Linked DNA regions of Ovis aries. The protein of the gene in region 2 purifies or fractionates together with the protein of the main gene of each other region. This does not show direct contact. Links are inferred from orthologs where the notes say so. Each region holds a gene or a part of one and is shown on either strand. Other genes may lie near its edges. The genes, in order: ACTL6A, ING3, MRGBP and EPC2.

What was found.
Region 1: the proteins of ING3 (region 2) and ACTL6A purify together in Homo sapiens (affinity purification with western blotting; 3 studies listed by BioGRID and IntAct, with this or other methods). This does not show direct contact. The link is inferred for Ovis aries from reciprocal best matches to the Homo sapiens genes ING3 and ACTL6A.
Region 3: the proteins of ING3 (region 2) and MRGBP purify together in Homo sapiens (co-immunoprecipitation; 4 studies listed by BioGRID and IntAct, counting the BioPlex papers as one, with this or other methods). This does not show direct contact. The link is inferred for Ovis aries from reciprocal best matches to the Homo sapiens genes ING3 and MRGBP.
Region 4: the proteins of ING3 (region 2) and EPC2 purify together in Homo sapiens (affinity purification with mass spectrometry; 3 studies listed by BioGRID and IntAct, with this or other methods). This does not show direct contact. The link is inferred for Ovis aries from reciprocal best matches to the Homo sapiens genes ING3 and EPC2.

Annotation. Positions count from the first base shown.
Region 1 is NC_056054.1:208,327,172-208,331,385, reverse strand, and holds part of ACTL6A (actin-like protein 6A), read left to right. Parts: intron 1-1,990; coding exon 1,991-2,091; intron 2,092-2,715; coding exon 2,716-2,813; intron 2,814-4,214.
Region 2 is NC_056057.1:87,086,513-87,090,726, reverse strand, and holds part of ING3 (inhibitor of growth protein 3), read right to left. Parts: intron 2,294-4,214; coding exon 2,197-2,293; intron 741-2,196; coding exon 669-740; intron 1-668. UniProt on the Homo sapiens protein: Component of the NuA4 histone acetyltransferase (HAT) complex which is involved in transcriptional activation of select genes principally by acetylation of nucleosomal histones H4 and H2A.
Region 3 is NC_056066.1:54,281,206-54,286,057, forward strand, and holds the start of MRGBP (MRG/MORF4L-binding protein), read right to left. Parts: upstream 3,303-4,852; 5' UTR 3,149-3,302; coding exon 3,001-3,148; intron 2,508-3,000; coding exon 2,386-2,507; intron 653-2,385; coding exon 571-652; intron 322-570; coding exon 247-321; intron 1-246.
Region 4 is NC_056055.1:160,774,156-160,778,369, forward strand, and holds part of EPC2 (enhancer of polycomb homolog 2), read right to left. Parts: intron 3,461-4,214; coding exon 3,301-3,460; intron 2,351-3,300; coding exon 1,890-2,350; 3' UTR 1,046-1,889; coding exon of another isoform or gene 973-1,045; 3' UTR 1-972. UniProt on the Homo sapiens protein: May play a role in transcription or DNA repair.

The DNA.
Region 1 (4,214 bases), on a different chromosome or scaffold from region 2:
CTACTTGACAATAAAAGAAACAAAATAACTGATACAAGTCAAAATACCAGTTGGGTTTTGATGAACCCCAAAGCCTTATGCCAAATGGAGGAAATCAGATGCAAAATTCCACATAATGTGGAATCACTTACTCTAATATGGAATGACCAGGAAAAGCTAATTTATACAGACAGAAAGTAAAGTAGCAGTTGCTTGGGGCTGTGGATATTATGAGAAGTGACTGTTAAAGGGCATACAGTTTCTTTTTGAGGTGATGGAACTATTCTAAAATTATGTTGTAATAAGAGTCACACAACTGTGTAGCTTTACAGAAGAAAATCTCTTCATTGTACACATAAAATTCATGTTATGGAAAATTATATCTCTATAGAACTGCTAAAGAACTGGAAGAATATTTTTTGTTACAAATATTTTATTTCTTATATTATCCTGATACTTGGAATAAATAACTATCTTTTGGATTCAGAAAAAAAAGGACTCAGTACCCATGGTTTTTATTGGTGACTGGTCATGTAGGTACCTTGTGCCCAACATGTTCCAAAACCCCAGACTCCCAGTTTAAACCACACTGTTTGTATAAATGGTTTAGGCACAGTGAACTACTCTTATTTGGGGAAAGTTTTATATCAATGTAGGAAACTGTTTACCAGACAAGTTCCCAGATGCCAGCCAAGGGTCAGCCTTGCAAGCAGGCCTTTCTCAGGTTTGCTGAGTTAACTCTTTCTGCATAGCAAGAGTTTATTAGTTCAAAGTGTTTGAGTATAGATGCTGGTTTAATAAGCAAGTAAGAGTGATTTTAAGACATGGAATTGATTTTTTTTTTTTCCACCCAGAAAGAGTTTGGGAGGTGAAAACAGGATTGAGGGTGAGATTCCTTATGGAAAGTTACTCCGTATTTAACCAGTAGAGGTGCCTATGAAGGGGAATGAGATGAACAGTTAGAGAAGTAGGAGAAAATTCAGGAGAAAACCAAGAAAAGAAAAAACTCGAGAAGAAGTCCAGTGAGTCTCATGTTCTTAACTGTGGCATTGAGATTTATGCTAAGAAGGGGAAAGAGAAGTTAAAGCTATAGAGGAAGTGCCTTGACCAAAATATCCCATTCTGGACTTTCACTGGTCCGCCTGCCAATGCAGGGGACGTGGGTTCAATCCCTGGTCCAGGAAGATGGCACAGGCTGGAGGGCAACTAAGCTCACGTGAAGCAGCTGCTGGAGCCCGTGCACCCTGGAGCGTGCGCTCTGCAGCCGGAGAAACCACGACAGTGAGAAGCCTGAGCACTGCAACTAGAGAGCAGCCCCTGGGGAGCAACGAAGGCCTAGCAGCCCCCAGAAAACAGAGCAGTGAGTTAAACCCATCCTGATAGGCCTATAACAATACTAACATGGTGTACAGATGATGCCATTCTTTGTTGGTCTGTGGCAGAAGAAGTTTGTGAACTCTTGAATCAATGGTGTCAGTAATTTAGAGAGGTTAGGTGAGATTGCAGACGCAAAGGATCCACTGGGCTTACCTGTTGGACGTTCGTTAGTGACTTACGCAAGCAGTCAGTGTAATGTTTTAATGGAAAGCAAATTGAAAACATATTCTTCTTTAAATTTTTTATAATGTTTTTATGTCTTTTTTTCATACAGATTGTTGCTGTTAGCTCCAAATCATGCAATTCTGTTTCCTCTTACAATTTGAATTGTGCTTTGGGCTTTATAGTTAGTACTTAACCGAATACTATTTATTTGGTATTTTAGGTGTGTTAGATACCTTAATTTTATCTGGGTCAGGTCTAGGGGTTACGGTACTGTTGGGGCTGGAGGAGCCATATCTAGAAGACAAAGCTAATGTCTATATGAAGTACTGTTTTATGAGGTAGAGCTGTAAAATAAGTCAGTTCTGTATATTAAAGTATCAGTGCTAAACCATTAGAAACAGTCTCTCAGAAGATGCTGTATTCATCTCCAACTAAGTATTGTTTTCAAGGTATTTATCTTATATTCTAGTTGAAGATTGGGATAGTTTCCAGGCTATTTTGGATCATACCTACAAAATGCATGTCAAATCAGAAGCCAGCCTGCATCCTGTTCTCATGTCAGAAGCACCAGTAAGACAAACTTTTTCAAGTTTTCTAGGTTGTTTTTTTACTCATTTTACTTTTTTTCTTTAAAGAGATATAGAAATTCATATTTTGAAAATGAGGGAAAGGGGGATTCTTTTTTAAATACTCTTACAACTTTTATTATTTCAATAATAAAAATACTCAAAGAACAACAGTAAAGCACCCAGTGGGTTCTGGCAGTTATTTATCTATTTTTTTCCAGGAATTTAATATCTAATTTCCTTTGACTGCTTCCCATTTTGGTTCATGAATTGTCCCTTATCGCTCAAGGGCAGTGTATATCTGCTTTTTTACTCAATCTTAGGAGTGACTAGATTCATTCTTAAGATTTAATACTTCATGTTTATAAGAATCCTGATTACTCTATACTTTGAAAAGTCTGTAGTTTCTAGAATTCATAGCAGCAATTTTACTTTTCAGATAATAAACTTTATTAAATTTATTACAAATACATAGAGATAAATGTTGTAAAGATATTATGAAGATTTTCCATGGTAACTTAATGTTTTACATTTTTGTTAATACAGTACTGAAATGAATTTTGAGATAAATCAGCATTTTAGTTTTTAAACAATAAGTAATTTGCATTTCTTTTTCCCTACTCTCAAGTGGAATACCAGAGCAAAGAGAGAGAAACTGACAGAGCTGATGTTTGAACACTACAACATTCCTGCATTCTTCCTTTGCAAAACTGCCGTTTTGACAGCGTATCCTTGAAAGAGTAATACTCAGCTTCTCTTCATGAGTGACTGTGGTTCTGCTAAAGGTGATGTGCTCAGCAGGAAGACAGGAGTCAGTTCTTGCTTGTCAGAAGTTGAGGGAGTTTTCCCCATTGCTTTTTGGATACCTTTCTTTCAGTATTTCTTACTGGAACTGATGTGCATGAAAGTGTGAGACGGAGATGGGAAATAAACACTCAAATTCTGCTCATTAATTTAACAAAGTTTTTTAAAAATTGTGTTTTTAGAAGGGGAATGTGAAGAGAAGGCCTAGATGAGTTCAAAGAGTGTCATTTCCTTCCTCCTCTCCAATGCCTGAGAAAAGTGGAAGTTGTCTATAAATTCATTTAAGATTTAATCACCAAGTATTTTTTATGAGCATATTAAGGAACAGACAAGGAAATACTATGTCCTGACCTCAAAGAATAATGTAATATTCTTGTTGAAAACTAAATAACATTTAAATAGTACTTCAAAATAGCACTGGCAAAAGTCATAAAGAAGTACATGATTCATCTGAAATTTTCAAATAGCAATTATAGTTCAGTGGAGGAAGATTGAAGCCTGACAAACCTTGTAAAGAAAAGAGAATTTTGAGACTTCCCTGGCAGTCAGTGGTTAAAGACTTCGCACTTCCAGTGCAGGGGACATGAGTTCAATCCTTGATTGGGGAACTAACATCCCGCACGCCATGTAGTGCGCCCGCCACCCCCCTCCCCCCCAAAAAGTGAGGGAATTTAGTTGCAAGGTGAAGGGAAAGGAGTCCTATATTTAGAGTTCAAGTAACAGTGCTGATAAACTGATCTTGATTTAGGTACTTAAAATCAGCCTCACCTTTTATACATTTATCCTGTGTACCTCCCTGGATTGCTATAATATTCAAGTGAATTTTACATGTGTGAGAATCACTGTGGTAGCTGTAATCTAGCATTTGTCTGTCGTGCTGTGTCTTGGAGATGACTTTAGCAAAAGTGTGGAGGTGGAAAGGGTAAGCATTCCTCACAGTGAGTTTAGAGTTGAAGATTTATATTCAGCTTTAGTGAGAGTTGTAAAAATAGGTTTAGGTCAGACCGTGGAAGCCTTGCATGTTGTATTTTAAAAATGTGAACTTTAGACTTGAGAGAACCATTGCAGGTTTTGAGTAGAGGATAGAGAGCACTAGCAAACTCTCTGTGTGCATTATCTCATTTAATTTTCATAATAACCCTGTCAGGAGTCGGAATCAAAATAAGCAAACTGGTCCCAGTCTACAGCTTGAAAATGGCAGTTATGAATTTGAACATAAGATCTGTTTGGCTGCTTCCTTGCAAGGAGTATGTAAATGGAATTGGCATTGTTTTATTTTTTAACTTTTTATTATAGAAAATTTCTTATATAAAAGAAGATAGA
Region 2 (4,214 bases):
AACCAAAACAACATTGTTTCTAAGAAGACAAGAGAAACAGAACTCTGTGCCACATGTCTTATTAACAGCTGACTGCTCAGACATTTAAAAAACTTCAGTAGCAAAGCAGTGAAGTAAGCCATGATGCATACTGGTTTCATATATAACATGAGAGAATTTTTTTTCAAAACATTACCTACAATTTCAAATATTTTTTAATCAACCTTTCATATCGAATTGATTTGTCAAAAAAAAGGCATCAATACAGTCAATTTAGTCAGCTAGCATCTGACTAAACCACTCATTTACTCACTAACTCAACCATTTGAGACTTTATTATATGCCAACAGTAGGCTAAGCACTTGAGAAAGGATGAAAAAGAACACTCCCTAGAGAGAATCAGGTTATTTGTATCTAGAGAGTATACACTGCTGTTAGTACCACACATTCTTCCTTTGAGAATGCCATGCAAAACAGACTACCTGTTCCCAAATCAAATATGCTCTTCCCAAATGAAGAAGATAAATCTGCCAGTAGTTGCAATGAAAAACTGTATCTCACAAGATAAAAGAAAGGGGAGGGTATCTGTTTCTCAATCAGTTGTGCAGAGCTAATGAAAGAGAATATACAGATGATACAATGAATTTTTCATTGTTTTTAAGATTTTAGCTCTCCTAAATCATACTTACTCTCCACTGGAGTATGTGAGTGAGCATGGTGATTGTTCACTGGCTGTGAAGGAGTGTCTAATTCCAGAGATCCTTAAAAAAAAAAAAAAAAAGAGAGAGAGAGAGAGAGAGAGAGAAGCACAGACATACATTGCCATGAGATGTCACCACAGAACTTTACACACCAATCAACTACAGGACTGTGGACCCTTAACCAGCAGAGGACCAGCAAGCTCTGATGTCTATGCCTGTACCATTTTAGTCAAACACATTAGAGGGTCATCACTGCTGATTTTACCCTGCGCCAATCTCATCCTCTTTCTAAACAGTAAGTAACCCATTTTTTAATATTCACCTTTAAGTACAAAATGGGTCAAGGCATGCTAATGTCTGGCTGAGGAATTCACCACATTTGGTACCACATAAGTGGACAAATGGATGTTATAATTTCATTACTGATGAGACCTAAAAAACTCAACCTAGAGTTAACTGAGTTGAAGACCTTTTAATGGGAGATACTGAAGTATCAGGCGATGGGACATTACTATAGGAAAAAAAATTCTTTGATCATTAAAATGATATATGAATGTAAAGACTTCTAAAAGAAGTTAGGGATTTTGCTTGTGAAATGTGATGCATAGAATCTCTACCTCTAAACTTTAATATACTTTTAAAGAAATGTCCTCAGTTTATCTTGGTCCCTTGAGATGAAATTATGGCAGGGCACAGGGTGGAGCAGTTTTCATAACTTGATCTGATGACTTTGATATGTTTGTGTCCTTACAGAGGATGCTTCATTAACCTCCCTGAGGTACTGAATAGGCATGGATTTACTGCTACTCACAGCTATTATCAGCATTTCAAGAAAATAAAACATTTTATTTTGTCTCAAGATACTTATCATCCTCAGATAGGATTCCCCTGAAATGAAAGTATCACAAATAAATTAGATAATCATCTAAAGTGATGGACCTATTTGGGAACACAAAAATGCAACTATTGTACCAAGATGGATTCATGTGTGGTTGCTGCCCTAGCTGACCTGTAGAGAGTATATGAATAGAGATATATGTAACCTAACACTGTAAAGAAACCTTTCATCCATGTGTAGAACCAGGTATATGTTCTTGCTACTGATATGCACCAAGAAAAGAGATGCCTGAACCTTTAGTTAAATTATACTAGAAATCGGCCATAATACTGACTTGATTCAACTAACATTTACTGAATGCCTACTCAGGGCTTACCATGGTACCATCTGTTTTTATGGACTCTGTCTATTTAGGCTGAAGAGCTAAATTTGTTCAAGAAACAGAGCTCATGTCTCCATTTTGGGGAAATCTCCTGAGTTAAACCCTAGGAATGATAAGAGTAAATTATAGCAGGAGATCAAGTCCAAACAGTCCAACTGCTAGGGACCAAGTGATCCCACCAGGTGCCTCTGTCCACCAAGGACCAGGATCTGAGAAGTCTCTGTGGAACCAGTGTCTCCTCAGTGATGTGCACATGTATTGTCCAATGGTGATGGAAAAGTGTAAATTTTACTTACGCCTCTCTAATATCTCTGTAATCCCAGCATTATCAGCTTCCAGCTCCATTTTAAATTTAGCCAGTTCCTGATCCAGCTTTCTCAAGTGTCGATCTACCTGTTTCAAAGAAGATCAAAGATAACCACCACAATTTGGGACACTATCAAAGTGTCGGTTTAATGAGGAAGCCTAAATCTTTACTTCTTTTAGTGCATCTGCTCTGGATCCTTGAGCAAGTCAATTAACCTACACTACAGGTTTTTATTCTATAAAATGAGGTTGCTAGGCTAAATACCTCCCAAGCCTCCTTGAATACATTTTAAGAAACCAGAATTGCAATTTGTCAGAGAATGTTTGGAGGAAGTAGGCTATGAAACATAAGCAAAGATGAGGGGTGGGTGGCATAGGAAACTTTTCATATATACCTTGGGATTACTTTCAGCCTAAGCTCCTCCTCCTTATAACAAGACCATCCACACTGCCAGACCATAATAACTGTTACTTACAGTAAGGAATGAAAGATCCTCAGTCTACAAACAAAGAGCCTCCTATACTTTACACATACATTTCTCTAAGGCAGGAAAGCATACCATTATACTTGTAAACATTTATGTAAAGAGTTGAAACAAAAGGGGTTTTTAGCCAGAAAGTTCCATTCCACAAAAGCTTGGTCAAAATGGTTTTATTGAAATACTGTCACACTTGGTTAAGGTGGCCAAATTGTATATTCTCATTCACCTAGAGATCTTTGGACTGAAAATTTTCTTCTGAAAATTTTATAATACCTCAAACTAGCAACAAGTTTTCATGTATTTTTTTAAGCTTAATATTAAATATCTTGATACTTTTTCAAATTTACTGCTTTGAAGTCAAATCAAAAAAACAAAAAACAGTCTTGAAAAATATTCATGTCATATTATTAGCAATACCTTTTTTCAAATTCTAATGTCCCTCTTAATCACTGTCATAATTAAGAGTAACTTTCTTACAAATATAAAAATGTCTCCAATACATTAGAGGGCAAAAAAATTAAGTAAGACTTTCAATGAAATTATGTGTACTTAAGTGAGGGGTTAGGGAAGAAGAGTACCAAAAGACAATCTGTGGGTGTTAGATGCCAGGACATGTGTTTGGTGCATTAAAAGGACTATGTTTTCTAGTCCTTGCTCAAACCTTTTGAGATAGTACTGTCTCCATTTCATAAGTGAAGAAACTAGACTCAGAAAGGTTAAGCAACACCTGCAAATTCAATAGCTAATATATTACAGAAACAAGATTTAACTCTGATCTGTTTGTAATAAACTGTGCTTCACTGTTTATACTTAACATTGCCTTCTGAATTTCCACATGCAGAAGCCAATTTCTTAACTGAAAGTAATATAATTCAAATTGAAAAAACATAAAAATATTGTCTTATTATTTATATTTTGTATATTAACAGCAATCATTGGGATGCTGGCTTGTGACTTTTCAATAATTCAAAGCCCAATTTTCCTTCCATCTTCACACACGTGTTATTTTTCAGAGCTTGGTAGAAGCTGTAATTACAATATTTAAAATCCTATAGGGTCATATCAGAGAAGGCAATGGCAACCCACTCCAGTACTCTTGCCTGGAAAATCCCATGGATGGAGAAGCCTGGTAGGCTGCAGTCCATGGGGTTGCTAAGAGTTGGACACGACTGAGCGACTTCACTTTCACTTTTCACTTTCATGCATTGGAGAAGGAAATGGCGACCCACTCCAGTGTTCTTGCCTGGAGAATCCCAGGGACAGGGGAGCCTGGTGGGCTGCCATCTATGGGATCGCACAGAGTCAGACACGACTGAAGTGACTTAGCAGCAGCAGTAGCAGAATAGGGTCATATATTGTAGACACATGCTCCTATTCAAAGAACCTGCAGGTAACCAAGCATCCTTTAATGGAACCACCCTTTCAATAATAAAGTGTGAACACAGACCTCTTATTCAAGAATATCGCTTACATTGTCAAAATTTAATCTCAAGGGAAATCAGAAAAACTACTCATGCTTAAATTCC
Region 3 (4,852 bases), on a different chromosome or scaffold from region 2:
TTCACCCTGCACTGAGAAGGCTGCCACCCATTCTACTTTAGTCAGGGAGCCTCCTGCACCCCCACCCCCCAGGGTTGGCTCCGAGAGTGACTCCCCTGTGTGAGAGGCTCTCTCCGAGCAGATGGAAGCTGCCTTCTCAGCTGCTGAGACAGACGAATGACCCCATTGCTAGTGATGGGGAGGCCTCGCTGGGCTAGGGTCCATGCCCCTGGGGCCCCAGGGTGGGAGGGCAAGCTCCACACTTACCATCATCAGCCCCGTTGTGGGGGTCCACATCTTCTTTCATTTCCTCTTTCATTTCCTCCTCGATGATTACTTTTCCTGTGGGGAGATGACCAATGATGACCTGGAGCCCGCAATGCTGAGTGCCGTGGCCCTGTCTGACCACAGTGGCTCAGGCCAAGGGCTGCTGACGACTTGGGAGGTGTCTGCCCCTGTCCTGGAGGCCCCCAGACCACCCCATCCTGGAGGGTGAGCACCACCCAACTACTGACCCTCACTCTCTGAGGCTCGTGACCTTCACCCTGACACCTTTTCCCATTCCCAAATCTGCCCTTGCCCGAGTCATACCTTCTCGGACTTCTTGAATGATTTCTTCTGGAAGGATGAAGTTCCTCTCTGGATTTGGGAACGGAAGAATCTCAGACTCGTGCTGATGACAAACAAGGGTGTTTTTTTTTTTAGAAGCAAAGAAGAAAATATGATTTTAAATATCACATTTAAAAGAAAATGTGACTAGAGATGTAAGAGCCAACTCAGGAGTGACCAATGAGCACAGATGGCTGTCCCGAGGGGCTGCAGTGGGCAGGCGTGGGGCCTGAGGCCTTTGTTCTCTCTCGTGGAAACCAGGCAAACAAAGCAAAATGGAGGAGCCACCAGGAATGCTCGCCAGGCTCCACTTGTTCCCCAGATCACGTAGGCCTGGAGGGACAGAGAGCCAGAAACACCACCACCAGACAAAGGGAAAGGTGAGCTGGTGGGAAGGGTCTCTGGGTTGGGAGGGGATTCAGGAGACAGGGCTTCTAGTCCCCAACTTGGGAGCTGAGCTGCAAGCCAGGTGGTCAGTGAGTAAGTGTGCCACCTGCCAGCTGGGAGCTTCACAAACCCCGAGAGCTCCTGGGCCCACGGTCATCCTGTGGGGTGAGATCCACAGACCCATATTTACAAGGTCCCAGGTGACCATGGCATCAGCTCTATAGCGGTGCTGGGGTCCAAGGAACTGAGGAAGGAAGGGCCACCTGTCCTGGACTGAGAGCCTCCCTGGTGGCCCCCACAGCAGAGTATCACCGTACCCTGTACGGGGCATCACTGCCTCAGCACCCTCTGAGCCAGCGTCTGCACTTGAGAGCCATCTGTCCTGTCTACCGCACCAAAGGCCCCTCAGGACAGGGGCCCTCCCATACTTGTCTCTGTGTCCAGCTTTGGGCCCCAGCCTGGAGTGGAGATGCAGGAAGCGTCTGGGGGCCAGGTGACACCCCAACATGACAAGCATGGGGGGTCCTGCCAAGCTGCTGAACACTGGAATTCTGGGGGAGTGGTGCCCCAACGGGTGGGCACAGCCCTTCGGGCGGCCTGCTTCAGTTCAACAGCTTGACCTCGAGTTCCTGGGTGCTAACTGCAGGCTCGGGGTCAGAGCAGTACTGTCATTTCTCTTCCTTCTCTGCCTTGGGACAAGGAGATGCAAACGACTTTCCCAAGGCCAACAGGGAACTTGTGGTGGTGAGGGTTAAGGACACAAGAGGGTCTGAGCTTCACTTAGAAGCTCAGGGTGGGAGGGAGGGAGGAGGGAGGGGCACAGGGTGGGGTGCGGGTGCAGCCCCGAGTCCTGACGCCTGCTGCCACAGGGCCCTGACTCCTGCTGTTCCTCTGCAGGGAACACCCACCTGTCTTTTCTGCTGTCCTGGTTACCAAGTTGACCTGCTCTCCCTCAGACCCAGCATCTGGGGGTTCCCTGAGGGTGGTCTTCCCTGAGGGTTGGCCTAGTTCTCACAGAAACCACCATGTTCATCTCAATGTGACTCAGACCCGGTCACCTCCCTGCTTATAGCACTCGGGAGTTTTCCACAGGACTGACAACCTAAGAGCCCCCTCCCACACAGGCCTCAGCTCCCTAGTTATCTCCTGGAAAGATCTTAACTGAACCTCGACTCCCCCCCAAAATCTAAGGTAGATTCAGTGCAATAACTAGCTACTGTCACCAAGCTTGTGTTTTCATAAAACTACCCAGAGCTATCTTGTTTAACAACTGGTCACCTGTGGGACATCCTGGATGTCAAGGTAGGACGTGGTTGGTGGTGGGGGGTGGGGGGGGTGGGGACAAAGGCAGGGTAGGCGGTGTGGAGGGGGCTCCCTGCCAGCAGCTCTGTCTGCGGGGGTCCAGCTCACCAGTGCCTGCATGTCATACATGGTGCTCAGGTGGTCCCAGATGACCTTGGATGGGACCTGCCGACCGATGTTCTGGCTGAACTTGTCTCGGATACAGATCATGTGGAAGTGCCGGTTCACCCCTGCAGAAGGAAGGGGTCGGCTTGTGGGGGAGGGGTAGGCCAGCTGGTAGGGTAGCGAAGAGGTAGGGGGCAAGGGGGAGAGAGCGGGCAGTGGTTGCAAGGGTGTAGGGAGGCAAAGGTGGAGGGTGGAAGAGGTAGGAGGTGCAGCGGAGAGAGGTGGGAGAGGAAAAGGCAGGGGTGTGCAGCGGAGGTGTAACGAGGGCACAGGGGTGGGGGTGCACGTGAGGGCTGGAGTCAGCCGGGATGGGTGGCTGGGCACAGGAAGGGGGCAGAGTCGGGTGGGGGTAGGGTATAGAAGGGGGCAGCGTGGGCAGGAGTGGGGGACTGCTGGAGGAAGCATGGATGGGGTGCGCAGGTGGGGGCAGGGTGCGCAGGTGAGGGCACGGTCGGCGGGGTGCAAGCGCAGGAGGCCCCGCCCAGCGCGCGTCCCCGACCGTTGCCGGCCGCCCCGCCCCCACGCGGGTGGGCCGCCCCGGCGCGGCGCTCTGCTCACCGACGGGCTTGTGGCCCAGCATGGCGTGGAAGAGGCACACCTCCACCTCGGGGCTCCACACCACCGTCTCCTCGGCCGGGCTGGTGGCAGCCTCCCCAGGGCCCTTGTCGCCGGCCGCGCCGCCGCCGCCCACCTCGGCCTCCCCCATGGCCCCGCCGCCCAGCGACGAGCCCCGGGCGGGAGCGGGCACGGCCACGAGCTCCGCGCAGGCGCACTCGCGGCGTGGGCGCGCGCTCGACGGGCTCGCTCTCGGACTCTCCCGCGGCGCAGGCGCAGGCGCAGCTGAGCGCTGGGTCGCCGCGCCCCCAGGCGGCACGGTCTCGCGGCGCAGCGCCGGCAGAGCAGGCGGATCAGGCGAAGGAGTGGGTTTGCGTAGATGGATGGAAATGCCCTAAATTAGATTGTGCCCGTAGCTGCACAGCTCGGGGTAAACCCCGCTGAACTCTGCGCTTACGATGGCGGGATTGCAAGCTGCACCTCAGTAAGAAGCAAAGAAGAAAAAGAACAGGCGACCTACAGTTCCTGCGAGTGGGGGCTCCAAGGGCTTCCACTGCCTCCAGCTGACCCTTGGCCTGAGCGCTGCACAGAGAGGCTCCTGCACACCGGGGCAGGGACGTCGGGGTACAGCCTTCCCGCCTGGGGCCTCCAGGGTGACCAGCATTGGGCCCTGGGGGTTAACCCTGGTCGGGAGGGGCGGGGCCAATGGGGCGGCCGGCCTGGGCAGTCAGGTGACAAGCTCAAAGCTGCGCCCAATCAAGACCGCCGGCTCCTCCCCGCCCCGCCCCGCCCCATCCCCGCCCCCGAGGGCTTCTCCCCGGCCCTTCTCCGTCAGGCCACGCCCACGCGGTGCTCCGGGCGGTTACCCAAGGCGAGGAGCGCTCTTGCTCTTCGTCTCCCCCTGGGTGTAGACATAGGGTCGGCCTTCCGGGTCCCTTTCTGGCTCTGCGGCTTGCCAGCCGTGTGAGCCAGGCAAAACGCTGAGCCTCTCCAGGCCGCAGGTGTCCTCCTTGCAGTGCAACTAACGGCGGCGCCTTATCCTGGGGTGCCCTGGGCACACGCTCGCGCTTCTTAGCCGGCATTCGGAACCGCTCTGGCCAGCCTCACCCCCGGAACAGTGGGGACTCAGTCTTGTCCTCCCTTGTGTGAAGAGCGCTGCTGGTGATGCCAGTCCCCACAGAGTGGGGACATGTGGCCCAGGGAGGATTTCAGTGACCCAGTGCCACCGGCTGTCCTGGAGCCACGATGTGGAGGGACATTGTGACTTTGCTGGGCCTGTGCTTCTTTCCTCTCTCTGACCCACAAGTGGGGCTCCCCTCAGGGCTTGCTGTGAGGTGGAATGGAGCACAGCCCAAAGCCACTTCACTCGGGCTCTGTCACACAGAAAGCACTAACAGACAGTGGCCCTCATCATTAATCTCCCTACACTTCCCAGACACTTCAGGGTCCCTGCTCCTCCACCAGGTCCACCTTCTGCTCATTCTATCCCCACCCAATTCCTGCCTTCTTCAATCTGGAGAGCCTCCTCCTCTAGGAAGCTACCCCTGATGCCCACAAGACAGCCTCAGCCCATCTGTGCCTCTCATGCAATCTCTTCCTCCTGCCTGGGGTCACCTGGGTGCTGGGCTGTGTTTTCGTTCTCTCTGGTGGCCACTGTAGCTGAGCTGTGTTCAGCCAGCAGCTGTGGTCCACAGACACCCGGTTCCTTTCATTCCAGGCAGATCCTAGAATGTGTATCTTCAGTCAGACTCGATGCAGAAAGACAGGTTGGATGATCTGGGCAAAAGGAAACTGCCTTCTCCACATCTTTCTTACATGAAGCCTCCTGGGTACTGCCCATTTGTCTGCTTCACCA
Region 4 (4,214 bases), on a different chromosome or scaffold from region 2:
CCACAGGAAATCTCTCCAAAATTGAAAAGACAATCTTGCCACAACCCTCCCCCCTCCCAACACCTGGGATGGCTCGATATCTACACTTCCAATAATTATTGCAATGATATAATGCAATACATACCTGGTAAAATATCCTTTATGTGGTGTGTTACAGTTTTAAAGCCAGTTAAAATATGCAGTCTTCAGATAAAATGTAATCCTTGAAAATTTTTCATACCTGCACAGTTTAAATGTACTAGATGCATAATTTTTCCTAGTCCTTTTTTTCTGTGTAATCATTTTTTATAAACTGGTATTATAAATAGAAATATACATTCAAAATATATGGAAAAGTGAGTCACTACATTAAATTTGCATGTATCGATCCATCCCTTTCCCCTGCACAGTAATAGAAAATACTATTTTGCCTTGAACTTCATATTTGACAGTGAAATGCCACTAAAGTATTTACCAAAAAGTCCATCTAGTCAAATTGTGAAACAAAATGAACCAAGTGAAAACTTTACAGTTCCTTTAGAAAAAAATTACAAGAATTTCATTTCCTAGCTATGAATCTTTAACTTTTTAGACACAAAGTTGGATTTATTTTTACAAGATACAAAATGTAAACATGGCAAAATAAATAGTTAAAACAAGTGATGCAGGATCCCATTTCATGCTCATGATCCCATTAAAGAATTATTTTTTAAAATCCATTCAGTTGCAAATTCAAGTGCAAAAGCATGATGATGAATATCTACTATTCAAGTAACAGAAATAATATTGATGATACAAATAAACTATTTTACAAGGTAGTGATTTTCCCAATTTTACAAAATATACATCATATATCGATTCAACATCCGATATACTATAGTCCATTTAGGTCCATTGTTATCCTCTGTGATCCACAGAGTTTCGCCTTTTGCATTCAGCTGGAATATGAATGACTGCACACCATCAGCACAGGTCAAAGCCACATGTTTTAGGTTATGTCACTTCCATAGCTACTGTTGTCTCTGCTATTCCATTTAAACCCAATCTTTCTGGTTCATGGTTCTCTCTATAATAAGGCAAAGAGTAAAATAAACATTAATACTCTCTAGAATATGATGTTTATCATTTAGTATTTACAGATGTGTTTTATATAATTACAATTAAACATACTGCACAAGAACATCTCCCATTTTTACAGTTTCCATACAGGAATAAGGAAAAGTTTTCTTCAGTTAAGAAATCCTATGAACTTGATTATAATTATTTACTTAGGAAAAAGAGCAACTTAACAGTATTTCAGTAGCAGTCAATGATAAATTACTTATCAAACATATAATATAGGACAATTCAAGCTTTTTACAATAGACAGAGCAGATGATGCTCATACATAATAATAACTGGAAGCACAACATTACTTAAATTACTTTCCACTACAGTTTAATTTTACAGCTTATGGTCATGTAGTTATTAATCTATGCAGATCAATTTTTTTGATTCACTGTTCGCATGCATTAGTGTCACAGAAAGAAAAAAGCAATCTGAAATACATTATCATAGATTTAGTTAATTCCAGGATATTCTCAGTTCTAAAACATACACAAAATAATTTACTTTCCCTTTGGGTGTAATGTTAAAAAAATACAAATTTGATTTGAAAACTAAAGCTCTGAAGGCTAACAATAACTCTAGCCTGCCAGACTGCCTAAACTACAAAGAAGAAATATAAGAATAACTAAAGCTGATGTATTTTTTCAGTTTGATGGTTCCCAAGTTGATGTGGACTATCCTCCCCCCTTTTTTAAAGTAACAGTTCTGATTGGCATTTAAACATTCTACTAGGGACCTTAAAGATCTAAGTCATACAGCTTTAGACTAAGCAGATATTCAATATCTGTTGAAAAGCAAGTCAATCAGCTGACAAGATATCTATGGTTTGAGCAGTAAAAGAAAAAAAGGAAAAGTCTTCTCCTCCCACAGGATCTGAGCCAGCAGAAAGAGACAGAATGATACTTGAAATACACACACACACACACACACCTGGCTATGCTGCTGATGGCACTGCTAGGAGTAACCTTTGGCACTCTGTCCATACTGGCAGCAACTGTGGCGAGTTTTAAGGCTGTTGGCGATGGTGCTGAAGTCCGTGTATTGATATGCACATTGACTGGAGAAACAACACTGACGTTATTGAGGTGCACTGCATTTGTCAGGCAGGAATTGTTCATGGGAAGTGTTTGAGGACTGCTTGTGCACAATGCTGGGATTAAGTGGTTTGTAGTGGTGTGGCCAACTGTCCTTACAAGCTGTACAGCTGAAATCCCTGGGCTGGATGATAAAGCCATATTGGTGGAGTATAATGTTTTAGAGGTTCCTGAAGGAGAAGGAAAAAAAACTGTTCAACTCATGAGACATTAATTAAACTCTTTAAAAAATTAGGAGTTTAAAATGCAAACATTTGTAATCTAATTAAATCTCTGAAGAGAGTTTCTAATCAATAACCACAACATATTCACCTGTACAACCCCAAAGATACCCTCTTTCTGCTAGCCTGCATAAAACAGTTTTGCAAAGTATTCTGCTGCCTTCATATATGGAAACTGTGTAACAGGACAGAGAGGTCTTCTTGGAGACTGAGGGCAGGTGGAGATGAAAATTGGACTTCCATTAGAATTTGCACAAGGAAGAACATCAGTAAGGAAGGGCAATCACAATCATAGGTATATGGAATAGCAAGTGGAAAATCCTAGGGTCTGAGCAGAAGTTAAAGGCTGATAGGAAGAACAAAGTACTCTCGGTAGTTTGACGCAGAAATAGTTTCACAGCAATACTGTACTTCACAAGGAGTCACAGAAAGCAGGGCTGTGAGTGTGTAAGACTGGGAAGGTAAATCCAATTTCCAACTTCTGACAGATCATCTGGACTATTAATATAATTCTCCTCTTTAAGAATGTACAAATGATTCAACAATGATGGTTAGCAATTGGCTTGATGTGACTGGTAAGATGTGAGGCAAATGATAGTATGTAGATAAAACTAGGCAGGGTGGACTGTTACACAGGTAGGTATCAACTGGGCATGGGAGGACCCAGGGAGCAGGCTTGATGTGACTTTTAGAAACATCAAGCTATTCCACCACACAGAGCCATAGAAATTATGGAGTCCTAACTGACTTCTTGTACAATGTTTCCCCTCTGGATTTAAAAATCAACCCCCCCCCCCCCCCCCCCCCGCCAAAAATAAATAAATAAATAAAAAACCAAATCTCAAATCACTGAGTTGCAACTTTGAACTAGTAAGTATCACTTGAAACGACAGGCTTACCTGAAGGCTGGACAACACCGTTTATGTTGCTGTGGCCAGTGTTCTGTTCCTTGGCTACCTCACTGCGACTTGGAACAGGTGCACTGACCACTGCAGATGCAGCAAAATGGGCGCTGGCTGAGTCAAGTGTTTTAGACATACAGTCAGAGGTGCTTGAGCCCTATAAAATGAACAAAGTTAAACTCTCAACTTTTCAGATGTGAGTTCACAAACACTTAAAAAAGTGAGATAACCCAAGAGGCTGTTGCCTTTTTCATTCTGAATAGTTAAAAGTTTTTATGTTAAGAGATCTAGGACTTCATAGACTATTTTCATCTGTGAAATAAGAAAGTTACTAAACTGAGAAGCAACTATTTATGAGAAAGAGCTAGGGCAATAAACAATCCAAATCTTTATGCCCTATTCATTTTTCCAAGTGTTAATGCCTTTAAAAATACTTGACAATCGTTACTATGTCTCATTATGATTATATATTTTTTCCCTTATATCTCTTCCGATATTTGCTTTATATATTTTTGTTTCTTTGTTGCTAAAGTGTCTAATGGTTTATGATGTCTATCTTCTTTGTGAATTATACCTTTCTTCATTAAAAATATTCATCTTTGTTTCATTTAAAATAAATAAATAAAATTTTAAAAATACTTGACAATCTAGATACTGTGGGCAAAATGAAATGACAGAGATGGCTGACAGCCATTTTTGTCCCAGTGTAAAAATGTATCTTAGCCTAACTTCTCAGTAGGCTGAAATTACCTGAGATTCCTAAAAGGCAAACAAAGGCAAGTTTAATGGTCATGTTCCTTTTGATTCTGTATAAAACTAGTTCAGGGTTAGAAAGAGATGGGAATACCAGACCATCTGACCTGCCTCTTGAGAAACCTATATGCAGGTTAGGAAGCAACAGTTAGAACTGG